3 linked regions of the Saccharomyces cerevisiae S288C genome follow. Each later gene encodes a partner of the first gene's protein in a complex. Each region holds a gene or a part of one and is shown in the gene's direction. Other genes may lie near its edges.

Region 1 (3,028 bases):
AGAGAAATGGTTGAAGCTTGATTTTATTTTAATTATATGTATAAAAATCATAAAACAACTATATAATTAATTATAACTCAAAAACTTTTCCAGTAAATGTCTGTTTTTTGGGCAGGAACAATGGCCAATAGCTCACGTACTGTTCGTGGGGGCCTTAAGCCTGGTATCTAGGCTCTGATTTCCAGAAGAAAGTGACATCGATGAATGCACTCAAGAGATTTTATGTGTTGTGAATATGTATATATTTATTTAGAAAAAAAAAAAAAAAAAAAAACCAAAATCATATACCTTAGGCATCCCGTTTCCCTCTTCATCATTTTTGTCCCTTTATATCAATTTTTTTAGACTTCATATAATTTTGTATCAACTGTACCCTACATCCCTTGGTATTCAAAATCTTGATATTACTACTTTTGCCATTACTGTCAGTGATTTGTTTGTTTAATATGAACTCCGTCAAGTTTTGCTCATTCAAGAAATTTGTTGTCTCTTCTATACTGTTGAAATTAAACTCACTTTTAACAAAATCTAAATTGACCTGGTTATAACTCTTACAAATTATGGTCAAAAATATCAACTTTTCTAGATTTAAGAATGAATTAATTAGACATTTTTCAAATTTGTGCAGTTTTAGGTAGTTTTTCATGAAGTAGTGATAATTGCCGACTAGTTTCATATCGCTCAACTCAAATATCATTTTGACATGTTCGTCCTCCAAGATTTCCGAAGAGCCATCGTCTATTAACTTAAGTTTTAAATGAGAAATCGACGGATAGTCTTCGGTTAACATCGAATACAAAACAGAATAGCATATAAATTCGGAATAAGATTTTTTTGGTATTGTAGGGTTTTCGAATAACGCCATAATCCTATTTTGACATTGATTAAATTCCCCAAGATCTCCGTTCTCCAAGGCAATACGTGCATGCGTTTGGTACACTTTAATAGTGAAAGAGTTCTCGATCATTTGCACTCTTAGGTCTTGTCTCATTGATTTAAACTGGTCGCAAAGGTAAGTATAAGTGGCTGTTTTAGATTGGTATTTGTCCATTAACAAGCAATACATTTTTTGTAGAATATTTGGGGGTCTGATCAAGTCAGGATTAGGCTCTGAAGTTAGTCTCAGATAAGATTTCTCTAGAGTTTGGCAACGCCCTACCACATGAATCTTTTTGTCATATTGATGAGATTTGCTACTAATGGCATTTAGGTTGGCAAAGTCTTCATTCAAATTATCGTTACTATTCGTCGTCGCTGATGGTCCCTGACTGAATCTTTCTGCCCTTCTCTTTCTTCTCTCTAATTCATCACTGCCACCCATTTCAACTTTCCATCCCGATGCCGAACCTACAGCACCATGCCCTACTATATTACTGTTGCTCATTACATTGCCGGATACCCCGTTAGAAAGGGCTGATGCCTTCTTAGATACTCTTGGTAATTTCTTTTTAATGTTTTTGTTCATACGTTTTTGTAATCCCGGAAGCGGTGTTACCATCAAAGGGTTAGAAACCTGGTTGACGTTGTTCCAAGATAAACGTGGTTCTGGCAAAGGCAGAGAAGGTTGTTGATTGGCAATGAAATTATTATTATTGTATGTCAGAGAAGGGAAAGATCCGGCGTAATCTAGGGGCCTATTCAGGCTTTGGCCGAATGGTCCTCCTTGAGATGAAGCTTCCCTGTCCTCCGTGGTATTGTTAGTAAAGTGACCGTAAGGATTCTGCATAATGTTATTGGAAACTCAACTACTCGCTGCCGAACGGTTCCTACTCCTTGTATTCTATGGTTTCTTTACGAGACAGCCAAATCTCTATTTTTTGTCATGTTCAGTCCTTTTTTACTCAAAAATTCCAAACCGTGAAGGATGATGCATGTTGACAATAAATGATAGCCGTCATCACATACAGTGTGCAATATCTAGATACTTCTAACCATTTCTTCCTGTCGTGGGGAGTTCATACCATTTTGACAGATGACAAACAGTAGTGAAAAACAATGGGAAAGAATCCAGCAATTAGAAAAGGAGCACGTGGAGGTATATAGAGAGTTGTTGATCACGTTGGACAGGTTGTACTTGATTAGAAAACACAATCATGCGGTAATATTAAGCCATACTCAACAGCGCCTCTTGGAAATTAGACACCAACTTCAAATTAATCTTGAAAAGACTGCTCTTCTTATTAGACTGTTGGAGAAACCGGACAATACCAATGTATTATTCACCAAGCTACAAAACCTCTTAGAAGAAAGCAATTCTCTGGACTATGAGCTCTTGCAATCGTTAGGTGCTCAATCTTCATTGCACAAACAGTTGATTGAATCAAGAGCAGAACGCGACGAATTGATGTCAAAACTGATTGAGTTATCGTCGAAGTTTCCCAAACCAACTATACCGCCAGACGACAGTGATACTGCTGGAAAACAGGTTGAGGTAGAAAAGGAAAATGAAACGATACAAGAATTGATGATTGCTTTACAGATACACTCCGGATATACAAACATATCCTACACAATTTGATTTTTATCTTCTAATGCTATTTATATATTCAAATAATTTTAATACTGACAACGCTAATAATAATAGTTACTTAATTAAGGTTTGAATCTTCGAGAAAAAAAAAAGGTAGGAAAATTAAGGAACTACTCACAAATTCAGAGAGAGAGAAGGGATAAAAAAATATCTGCCAATGGAGGTAACTTCAATGTTTCTCAATAGAATGATGAAGACCAGGACTGGTCTTTATCGCTTATATTCAACCCTTAAAGTTCCACATGTAGAAATCAATGGCATAAAATACAAGACCGACCCACAGACTACCAATGTTACAGATTCAATAATAAAGCTTACCGACAGATCATTACATTTGAAAGAATCACATCCAGTAGGCATTCTTCGCGATCTAATTGAAAAGAAATTAAACTCAGTCGACAACACATTTAAGATCTTTAATAATTTCAAGCCCGTGGTAACCACAATGGAAAACTTCGATTCTTTAGGGTTTCCTAAGGATCATCCTGGAAGATCAAA
Region 2 (4,709 bases), on another chromosome or scaffold:
CGTATGCCATCGGAATCCAGATGCATTTCTGAACCTTTCCACTCGGGAAAACCACTCGTCATGTCACACGGAGAGTTGGCCATGAACTGGCTAATGGGATGGTCTAAGGCGACCACTGTAAGAAGAACAAGAGATGATGCAAGCTAAAGCAAGCAGGTCTCAAATAAACGCTACTTGTGCCGTTGACAGCTTGTTTATCTTGCACATGGCAAGGCCATCGCGTCCCTGCGTCCCAAGAGTGCGCGGTATACGTGCGGCCCTAAACGAGGCGGTCTCTGTTCTCTGATATATTTCTTTTCTTTCTTCGTTGTTTTGTTTCGTGTTTGTTGAGCTCCTGCCTTCAATCGGCATCGTCCTCTTGCGTACGTACATAAAATCGTTACAGCTTTGTTCACATGGTGAAAACAATAGCGTTTGGTACGCTCTTTAAATCTTGGCACTTGTCACTTACGCTCCTTTAAACAAAATCAAACATACAAATATACGGATACGTACGCACACAGAAGCATAAAAGCACAAAAGCACATAAGAAGACCACATATAAACTAGATTATGTCCTTTGATAGACAGTTGACCGAAGACCAGGAGGTCGTCCTTAAGCAAATTTGGACACACCTTTTCCATCTGTGGCAAGTTCCCGTGGATGGAACTCATATTTTCCCTAATAACTCCCTCCACTCCTCGTCCACCCCTGCTAAGAAGAAGAAATCATCCTGGTTTAGCAAGCTTCAGTCCTCAGACCATACACAGGACTCCAGCGAAGCCGCTGAAGCGGCACACCTCTATGAAAAGGGCAAGATACACAAGGCACTAGCCAATCTAGACCCGCAAACGACCAAGAAGCAGTTCTGGCACGATATCAAGAATGAAACTCCAGACGCCACCATTTTGAAGTTTATCAGAGCCAGAAAGTGGAACGCAGACAAGACCATCGCCATGTTGGGTCACGATTTGTACTGGCGCAAGGACACTATTAACAAGATCATAAACGGTGGCGAAAGAGCTGTGTATGAGAATAACGAGACCGGTGTCATTAAGAACCTGGAATTGCAAAAGGCCACCATCCAGGGTTACGACAATGACATGAGGCCAGTCATCCTTGTGAGACCTAGATTACATCATTCTTCCGACCAAACTGAACAGGAGCTGGAAAAATTCTCCCTGTTGGTCATCGAGCAATCAAAGCTTTTCTTCAAAGAAAACTACCCCGCATCCACCACCATCTTGTTCGATCTGAACGGGTTCTCCATGTCCAATATGGACTATGCCCCCGTCAAGTTTCTAATCACTTGTTTTGAGGCTCACTACCCGGAATCTTTGGGCCATCTACTTATCCATAAGGCCCCTTGGATCTTTAACCCGATTTGGAACATCATCAAGAATTGGCTGGATCCGGTCGTCGCGTCCAAGATTGTTTTCACTAAGAATATCGACGAATTGCACAAGTTTATCCAACCCCAATACATCCCTAGGTATCTGGGCGGAGAAAATGACAATGATTTGGATCATTACACTCCACCAGATGGCTCTTTGGACGTCCATCTGAAAGACACCGAGACTCGCGCTATGATCGAAAAGGAGAGAGAAGAATTGGTCGAACAATTCTTGACTGTCACTGCCCAATGGATTGAACACCAGCCATTGAACGATCCAGCATACATTCAACTGCAGGAGAAAAGAGTACAACTTTCCACCGCTCTTTGTGAAAACTACTCCAAGTTAGATCCGTACATCAGATCAAGATCCGTTTATGACTACAATGGTTCTCTAAAAGTTTGAGCCAAGCCACGCGACGCTCCATACTGTATAGACCTTTATTATAAAAACATCTATTTCTTTATATGTCCCTCTATCTTATTTTTCTTTTACTTTTATTTGTATAATACGCGAAAAATTATAGAATCATTTATTATCAAAAACAATCAACTATGAAATGAAAAACAATACGCCTGCTAATACGGTTCGCCCTTCAATTTTTGTTTTTTTTACATGAATGAGTCTTATACTAGATGATATCATCCTCTCACTAACGAATGCTAACGAACGAACGCCACCACAGGCCCTTAAAACCACTTTAAGCCTGCTATACGAAAAATCAAAACAATATGGTCTTTCTTCGCCGCAACTACAAGCACTTGTAAGGTTACTCTGTGAAACTTCCATAATAGACACAGTTACAAAAGTGTACATCGTCGAAAATTGCTTTTTACCTGATGGCTACTTGACGAAGGAACTTCTTTTGGAGATTATTAACCATCTCGGTACGCCAACGGTATTCTCTAGATATCGCATACAAACGCCTCCGGTCCTACAATCTGCGTTGTGCAAATGGTTAGTGCATGTTTATTTCCTATTTCCTGTACATTCAGAACGAGAACACAATATATCCAGTTCTATCTGGTTACATTTATGGCAATTCTCGTTCTTACAGAAGTGGATAACTCCCCTGGTTATTTGGCAAGCCACGACGCCCGTTGATGTCAAACCTTGGAAGTTGTCTATTATCAAGAGATGCGCTATGCATCCAGGTTACCGGGACGCTCCCGGTAGTGCGACGCTTATTTTGCAACGATTTCAATGTCTCGTGGGCGCATCCAGTCAGATTACTGAATCAATAATTACCATCAATTGCAATAGAAAGACTTTGAAAAGTCATCGAAACTTAAAATTGGATGCGCATTTCCTATCCATTTTGAAAAGAATATTATCCAGAGCACATCCCGCTAATTTTCCCGCTGACACTGTCCAAAACACAATTGACATGTACTTGAGTGAAATTCATCAATTAGGTGCTGATTCTATATACCCACTTCGACTTCAATCACTTCCAGAATATGTTCCCTCTGACAGTACGGTCTCTCTTTGGGATGTCACTTCATTGGAACAATTAGCTCAAAACTGGCCACAATTGCATATTCCCAATGATGTAGATTACATGATGAAGCCATCTTTAAACAGCAATGTTTTACTGCCGCGAAAAGTCATGTCTAGGGATTCTCTCAAACACTTGTACTCTAGTATCATTCTCATTAAAAATAGCCGCGATGAGTCGTCATCACCATACGAATGGTGCATTTGGCAATTGAAGCGATGCTTTGCACATCAGATAGAGACTCCGCAAGAAGTTATTCCCATTATTATTTCGGTGTCCTCAATGGATAATAAACTGTCTTCTCGCATTATTCAAACGTTTTGTAATTTGAAATACTTAAAACTCGATGAGCTTACGTTGAAAAAGGTTTGTGGCGGAATCTTGCCATTATGGAAGCCTGAACTAATCAGTGGTACAAGGGAATTTTTCGTTAAGTTTATGGCCAGTATTTTTATGTGGAGTACACGAGATGGTCACGACAATAATTGCACATTTTCTGAAACTTGTTTTTACGTTTTACAAATGATTACAAACTGGGTTTTAGATGATAAATTGATAGCACTCGGGTTGACACTACTGCATGACATGCAAAGCCTGCTAACTTTGGACAAAATCTTTAACAATGCTACTTCAAACAGATTTTCTACGATGGCTTTCATCAGCTCGTTAGATATTTTAACTCAACTGTCGAAACAAACGAAGTCGGATTATGCGATCCAATATTTGATTGTGGGCCCTGACATCATGAATAAAGTGTTCAGTTCGGACGATCCTTTGCTATTATCAGCTGCGTGCAGGTACTTGGTTGCTACGAAAAATAAATTGATGCAATACCCGTCAACAAACAAATTCGTTCGGATGCAGAACCAATATATCATGGATTTGACAAATTATCTTTACAGGAATAAAGTTCTGTCATCCAAAAGTTTGTTTGGAGTCTCACCAGATTTCTTTAAGCAGATTTTGGAGAATCTTTATATCCCAACTGCAGACTTCAAGAACGCTAAATTTTTCACGATAACTGGTATACCAGCGCTATCCTACATATGTATTATTATTCTAAGACGACTGGAAACGGCCGAAAATACCAAAATAAAATTCACCAGTGGGATCATAAATGAAGAGACGTTTAACAATTTCTTTCGAGTTCATCATGATGAGATTGGCCAGCATGGTTGGATAAAGGGCGTTAATAACATTCACGACTTGAGAGTAAAGATTTTAATGCATTTGAGTAACACTGCTAATCCATATAGAGACATTGCAGCATTCTTGTTTACATATTTGAAGAGTCTCTCAAAGTATAGCGTTCAAAATTCTTAGAATATGCATCCACATTTATATACATATATATATATATATATATATTATAACTTCCAAAAAGGAGATTGGACAATTTATATCTATAAGGCATTAATATTTAACTATTTACAAGCACTAGTGGTAAATTCATGGCGTCATATGATTACTTGTGGAATAAGAAACTAATCACATTGAATTTCATGACAAATTTTTTGATTTTTTTATTCATCAAATACATTCTCCCTTCCGGTAAGTTCATCAAAGTTTCAATAACAGCATCCCTACCTAATTTCAAAAAGTTTTTGTCAGCCGTGTACATGAATTTGACTCTGCCATTTACCACAATTTGAAACTTTTTGAATTTGGACTCAGTAGTGCGCTCAACTTCTGGCCAGCGGTATTGGTTCCATTCCATTTGGGAGTTGATCATCTCTGCAGCTTCTTCTGAAATTGACGGGACAGCAGGATATATAACGGTTACCAACTTTTGTAAATTCTGTACTATCATTTCATTCCTTACTTCACCTTTTTTCAA
Region 3 (2,990 bases), on another chromosome or scaffold:
CATACAAATCAACACAGATGTTTTGCAGACTATAGATTACTACTTTCAGCGTAACAAAAGTGAACATGACGAAATTATGTGCGTCCTTATTTCTAAGTTACAGCCACTACTTTTAAAACGCAAAAGCAACTTCGAACTCAAAGAGCAACGTAATCTTGGTCTCAAACCCACGCTTGGAATGTCTTTGAAAGAAGATAACCTAATGCAGGCGTGGGTAAGTCAGGGTGGCTTGAAAGGCATTCCGTTATTCTACGTAATTCTGTTACATTTGAAAAGGAGAGACATATCTACGAATCTTTCTTGGATTATTCCAGGAATTCTAAACATACTAGATGATACCACTGATATAAGAAGAATTAAACTTCGTGGTGTTCTGCTCCTACAGACGCTATTAAATCATACCTTTATGAACGAAACCAATGACTCAAAATGGATACAGTTCTCTAGTACTGGTTTATTTCCACTGTTCGAAAAGACGCTAATCAATATGTGCTATTTTCTCCCTCCCTCATACAATGCTGATGAAACAATAGCCATATGGCGGGTCGTTTTCCCAACGATACAGTCGTTATATAAAGTAGAATTTTTGGACAATTACACAAAGTATCAATATCACCTGGAAAAGTTCATGTCAGAGATAATCTTGCAAAACATAATTCCTAGGGCTAGCCTTGCATACGAAAATTTGACGTTATACGCATTGGAATGCACAATGAACATACTGAGACTTCAAAGAGAAGGGTCTGTTGTACATCTCCAGAGGCTGATTTTTGTTTTAGGTGAATATATTGTACGAAATCCTTTTTACACAACTTTTCCAAAACTTATTTCAAAAACTCTTTCAGTGGTAAGTACTCTCATAAAGGTTTGCCCGAATGAAAGAATAGTGGCTCACAGATTCGACATTTTATCATTAATTCTAGTTACATACGATAAGTGTTCGCAAGAGGATGCGTTGAACGAATCAATACTACAACAATGTAAGGAAACGATAAGCTGGTTGCTGAATTGTGACTGCGCTATGGGTGAACAGTTATCGACTCTATCTAAGCAACCGCGGTTTCAGTTACTTTTTGAGTTCTCATAGGAAACAGACACAGACACAGACAAATGCATATACATATATATATATATATAACTAGACAGTATATAAACAAAAAGAGTTATTTGCCCTTTATGCTGAAGAATCCCTTTTAAAGAAACCTTGGACATATATTAAAATATTCATTTGCTTATTTACAGATATATTAAGGTAAAGAGAATAATGACTCGGAGAGATAAATCGGTTTCATATTAACGGGTGTTTTGCAACCCGTTCACAATCCTGATATTAGTATCCAAAAACCGATTCACACAGTTAGACAAACATTGCTCTTCTTGCGAACTTAAATTAGAATCATTGACAGACTCAACACATTTTTTGAAGCATATATTAGTGAATTGATGGATTGACATCTGGACTTTTTGTTTGGAGTTCTCTCCCTCCAAGAAAGTAGCAATTTCCTTTTTGGAAGTGTCATCAAGGGAGGCCAAATCAGACGTTGATAGAGAAGACATTCTTTGTTGTTTGTAAATTTGTTTTCCTTTTTACCTCTTCTTCAATACTTTCATATAAATGAATGTTTCCATCAATTTTTACGTTAGTTAATAACTAACCGTTCGCTTTGATATGCAGCGTAACAACAAACAAGACGCATATGACGACAAAGAGGGACAAGAGCAAACGGCAGAAAGTCTCACAAAGGAAACATGGATGTTGAAAAGGATGTCCTGGATGTCTACATAAAGAACCTGGAGAACCAGATCGGAAACAAACGATATTTCTTGAAGCAAGCTCAAGGTGCCATCGATGAGATCACGAAGAGATCTCTGGATACAGAGGGTAAACCGGTCAATTCTGAGGTCTTTACAGAGTTATTAAGAAAACCCATGTTCTTCTCAGAGAGAGCTGATCCTATTGGTTTCAGTTTGACATCGAATTTTTTGTCTTTGAGAGCCCAAAGTTCCAGTGAATGGCTCTCGCTTATGAATGATCAATCAGTTGATCAAAAGGCCATGTTATTGTTACAGAATAATATTAATAGTGACTTGAAAGAGCTGCTACGAAAACTGCAGCATCAAATGACCATTATGGACAGTAAGAAGCAAGATCACGCCCATATTAGAACACGAAAAGCCAGAAATAAAGAGCTTTGGGACTCACTGGCGGACTTTCTCAAGGGTTATCTAGTACCGAATTTGGATGATAATGATGAATCAATAGATAGCTTAACGAACGAAGTCATGCTGTTAATGAAAAGACTAATTGAGCATGATTTGAATCTGACATTAAACGATTTTTCATCTAAAACGATACCAATATACAGATTATTACTTAGGGCTAATATAATAACAGTAATTGAGGGCTCTACAAATCCAGGGACTAAATACATCAAACTAATAGATTTCAATGAGACCAGTCTAACTTAAGTAATACTTCGTAGTCAAAGTGTGCTTCGTAGTGGTGTGAGGATGTTATAAAGCGCCAAAATTTAGAAGATCATAATTTGGCAGTAACCGTAGATTATTCACCAAAAAGCTCTTGACTTCCTCTTTTAATAGACTGTCGTTAAAAGGTCCTTAGTCCAGAATAGTATATAAAAAGTGTTGTATGGTAGTGGTATACCAATTTTGCTATGAGTAAAAAATTATCGTTGGAAGAGAGACTCTCCTTGGCAACTAAGAAAGGAAGAAAGAAAAATAAAAGGTCAACGTCAAATTTGTCGTCTCCATCGCCTGTGGTGCTGTCAAACAATGAACAAGAAAGTGCTCGTACATCCATTGATGATGCGGCTGCCGGTGTGGTGTCAATTGACAATGCTGAAAACATAGATGATCCTGCGGTACGATCAGAAAGCACTGTGGAAGGCGATACAGGTAAGGCAGATTCAATCGCTGTCGATGACGTGGTGCATCCCGATCACAATAGGACTGATTGCTTCGACGACACT

What was found.
Region 2: the proteins of MCM16 (region 1) and CTF3 are in contact, whole or in part, in a cryo-EM structure (PDB 7L7Q), measured with the Saccharomyces cerevisiae proteins. Residues at the interface, in NP_015371.1 of Saccharomyces cerevisiae: Val20 (codon at 2,030), Arg24 (codon at 2,042), His47 (codon at 2,111), Arg51 (codon at 2,123), Leu52 (codon at 2,126), Glu54 (codon at 2,132), Ile55 (codon at 2,135), Arg56 (codon at 2,138), Gln58 (codon at 2,144), Leu59 (codon at 2,147), Gln60 (codon at 2,150), Ile61 (codon at 2,153), Asn62 (codon at 2,156), Leu63 (codon at 2,159), Glu64 (codon at 2,162), Lys65 (codon at 2,165), Thr66 (codon at 2,168), Ala67 (codon at 2,171), Leu69 (codon at 2,177), Ile70 (codon at 2,180), Arg71 (codon at 2,183), Leu73 (codon at 2,189), Glu74 (codon at 2,192), Lys75 (codon at 2,195), Pro76 (codon at 2,198), Gln87 (codon at 2,231), Leu90 (codon at 2,240), Glu91 (codon at 2,243), Asn94 (codon at 2,252), Asp97 (codon at 2,261); in NP_013485.1 of Saccharomyces cerevisiae: Trp303 (codon at 2,900), Pro304 (codon at 2,903), Ser342 (codon at 3,017), Leu345 (codon at 3,026), Ile346 (codon at 3,029), Asn348 (codon at 3,035), Ser386 (codon at 3,149), Ser387 (codon at 3,152), Met388 (codon at 3,155), Asp389 (codon at 3,158), Asn390 (codon at 3,161), Pro422 (codon at 3,257), Leu423 (codon at 3,260), Gln467 (codon at 3,392), Thr470 (codon at 3,401), Asn471 (codon at 3,404), Leu474 (codon at 3,413), Ser491 (codon at 3,464), Thr494 (codon at 3,473), Leu495 (codon at 3,476), Asp496 (codon at 3,479), Phe499 (codon at 3,488), Asn500 (codon at 3,491), Asn501 (codon at 3,494), Ala502 (codon at 3,497), Arg506 (codon at 3,509), Met510 (codon at 3,521), Ile513 (codon at 3,530), Ser514 (codon at 3,533), Asp517 (codon at 3,542).
Region 3: the proteins of MCM16 (region 1) and MCM22 are in contact, whole or in part, in a cryo-EM structure (PDB 7L7Q), measured with the Saccharomyces cerevisiae proteins. Residues at the interface, in NP_015371.1 of Saccharomyces cerevisiae: Gln8 (codon at 1,994), Arg11 (codon at 2,003), Ile12 (codon at 2,006), Gln13 (codon at 2,009), Leu15 (codon at 2,015), Glu16 (codon at 2,018), Lys17 (codon at 2,021), Glu18 (codon at 2,024), His19 (codon at 2,027), Val20 (codon at 2,030), Val22 (codon at 2,036), Tyr23 (codon at 2,039), Glu25 (codon at 2,045), Leu26 (codon at 2,048), Leu27 (codon at 2,051), Thr29 (codon at 2,057), Leu30 (codon at 2,060), Asp31 (codon at 2,063), Arg32 (codon at 2,066), Leu33 (codon at 2,069), Tyr34 (codon at 2,072), Leu35 (codon at 2,075), Ile36 (codon at 2,078), Arg37 (codon at 2,081), His39 (codon at 2,087), Asn40 (codon at 2,090), His41 (codon at 2,093), Ala42 (codon at 2,096), Val43 (codon at 2,099), Ile44 (codon at 2,102); in NP_012669.1 of Saccharomyces cerevisiae: Lys5 (codon at 1,762), Val7 (codon at 1,768), Leu8 (codon at 1,771), Tyr11 (codon at 1,780), Ile12 (codon at 1,783), Leu15 (codon at 1,792), Glu16 (codon at 1,795), Gln18 (codon at 1,801), Ile19 (codon at 1,804), Lys22 (codon at 1,813), Arg23 (codon at 1,816), Phe25 (codon at 1,822), Leu26 (codon at 1,825), Ala29 (codon at 1,834), Ala32 (codon at 1,843), Ile33 (codon at 1,846), Ile36 (codon at 1,855), Ser40 (codon at 1,867), Gly45 (codon at 1,882), Lys46 (codon at 1,885), Pro47 (codon at 1,888), Val48 (codon at 1,891), Asn49 (codon at 1,894), Ser50 (codon at 1,897), Val52 (codon at 1,903), Phe53 (codon at 1,906), Glu55 (codon at 1,912), Leu56 (codon at 1,915), Leu57 (codon at 1,918), Lys59 (codon at 1,924).

What each region holds. Positions count from the first base shown.
Region 1 is NC_001148.4:654,827-657,854, forward strand, and holds MCM16 (Mcm16p), read left to right. Parts: upstream 1-1,972; coding exon 1,973-2,518; downstream 2,519-3,028. Other genes in the region: 60S ribosomal protein eL43 RPL43A, read left to right, coding at 1-21; THP3 (Thp3p), read right to left, coding at 314-1,726; MSF1 (phenylalanine--tRNA ligase), read left to right, coding at 2,703-3,028. UniProt on the Saccharomyces cerevisiae protein: Component of the kinetochore, a multiprotein complex that assembles on centromeric DNA and attaches chromosomes to spindle microtubules, mediating chromosome segregation and sister chromatid segregation during meiosis and mitosis.
Region 2 is NC_001144.5:877,730-882,438, forward strand, and holds CTF3 (Ctf3p), read left to right. Parts: upstream 1-1,993; coding exon 1,994-4,195; downstream 4,196-4,709. Other genes in the region: CSR1 (Csr1p), read left to right, coding at 553-1,779; leucine--tRNA ligase NAM2, read right to left, coding at 4,338-4,709. UniProt on the Saccharomyces cerevisiae protein: Component of the central kinetochore, which mediates the attachment of the centromere to the mitotic spindle by forming essential interactions between the microtubule-associated outer kinetochore proteins and the centromere-associated inner kinetochore proteins.
Region 3 is NC_001142.9:675,538-678,527, reverse strand, and holds MCM22 (Mcm22p), read left to right. Parts: upstream 1-1,749; coding exon 1,750-2,469; downstream 2,470-2,990. Other genes in the region: TTI2 (Tti2p), read left to right, coding at 1-1,087; protein transporter TIM8, read right to left, coding at 1,294-1,557; SGM1 (Sgm1p), read left to right, coding at 2,676-2,990. UniProt on the Saccharomyces cerevisiae protein: Component of the kinetochore, a multiprotein complex that assembles on centromeric DNA and attaches chromosomes to spindle microtubules, mediating chromosome segregation and sister chromatid segregation during meiosis and mitosis.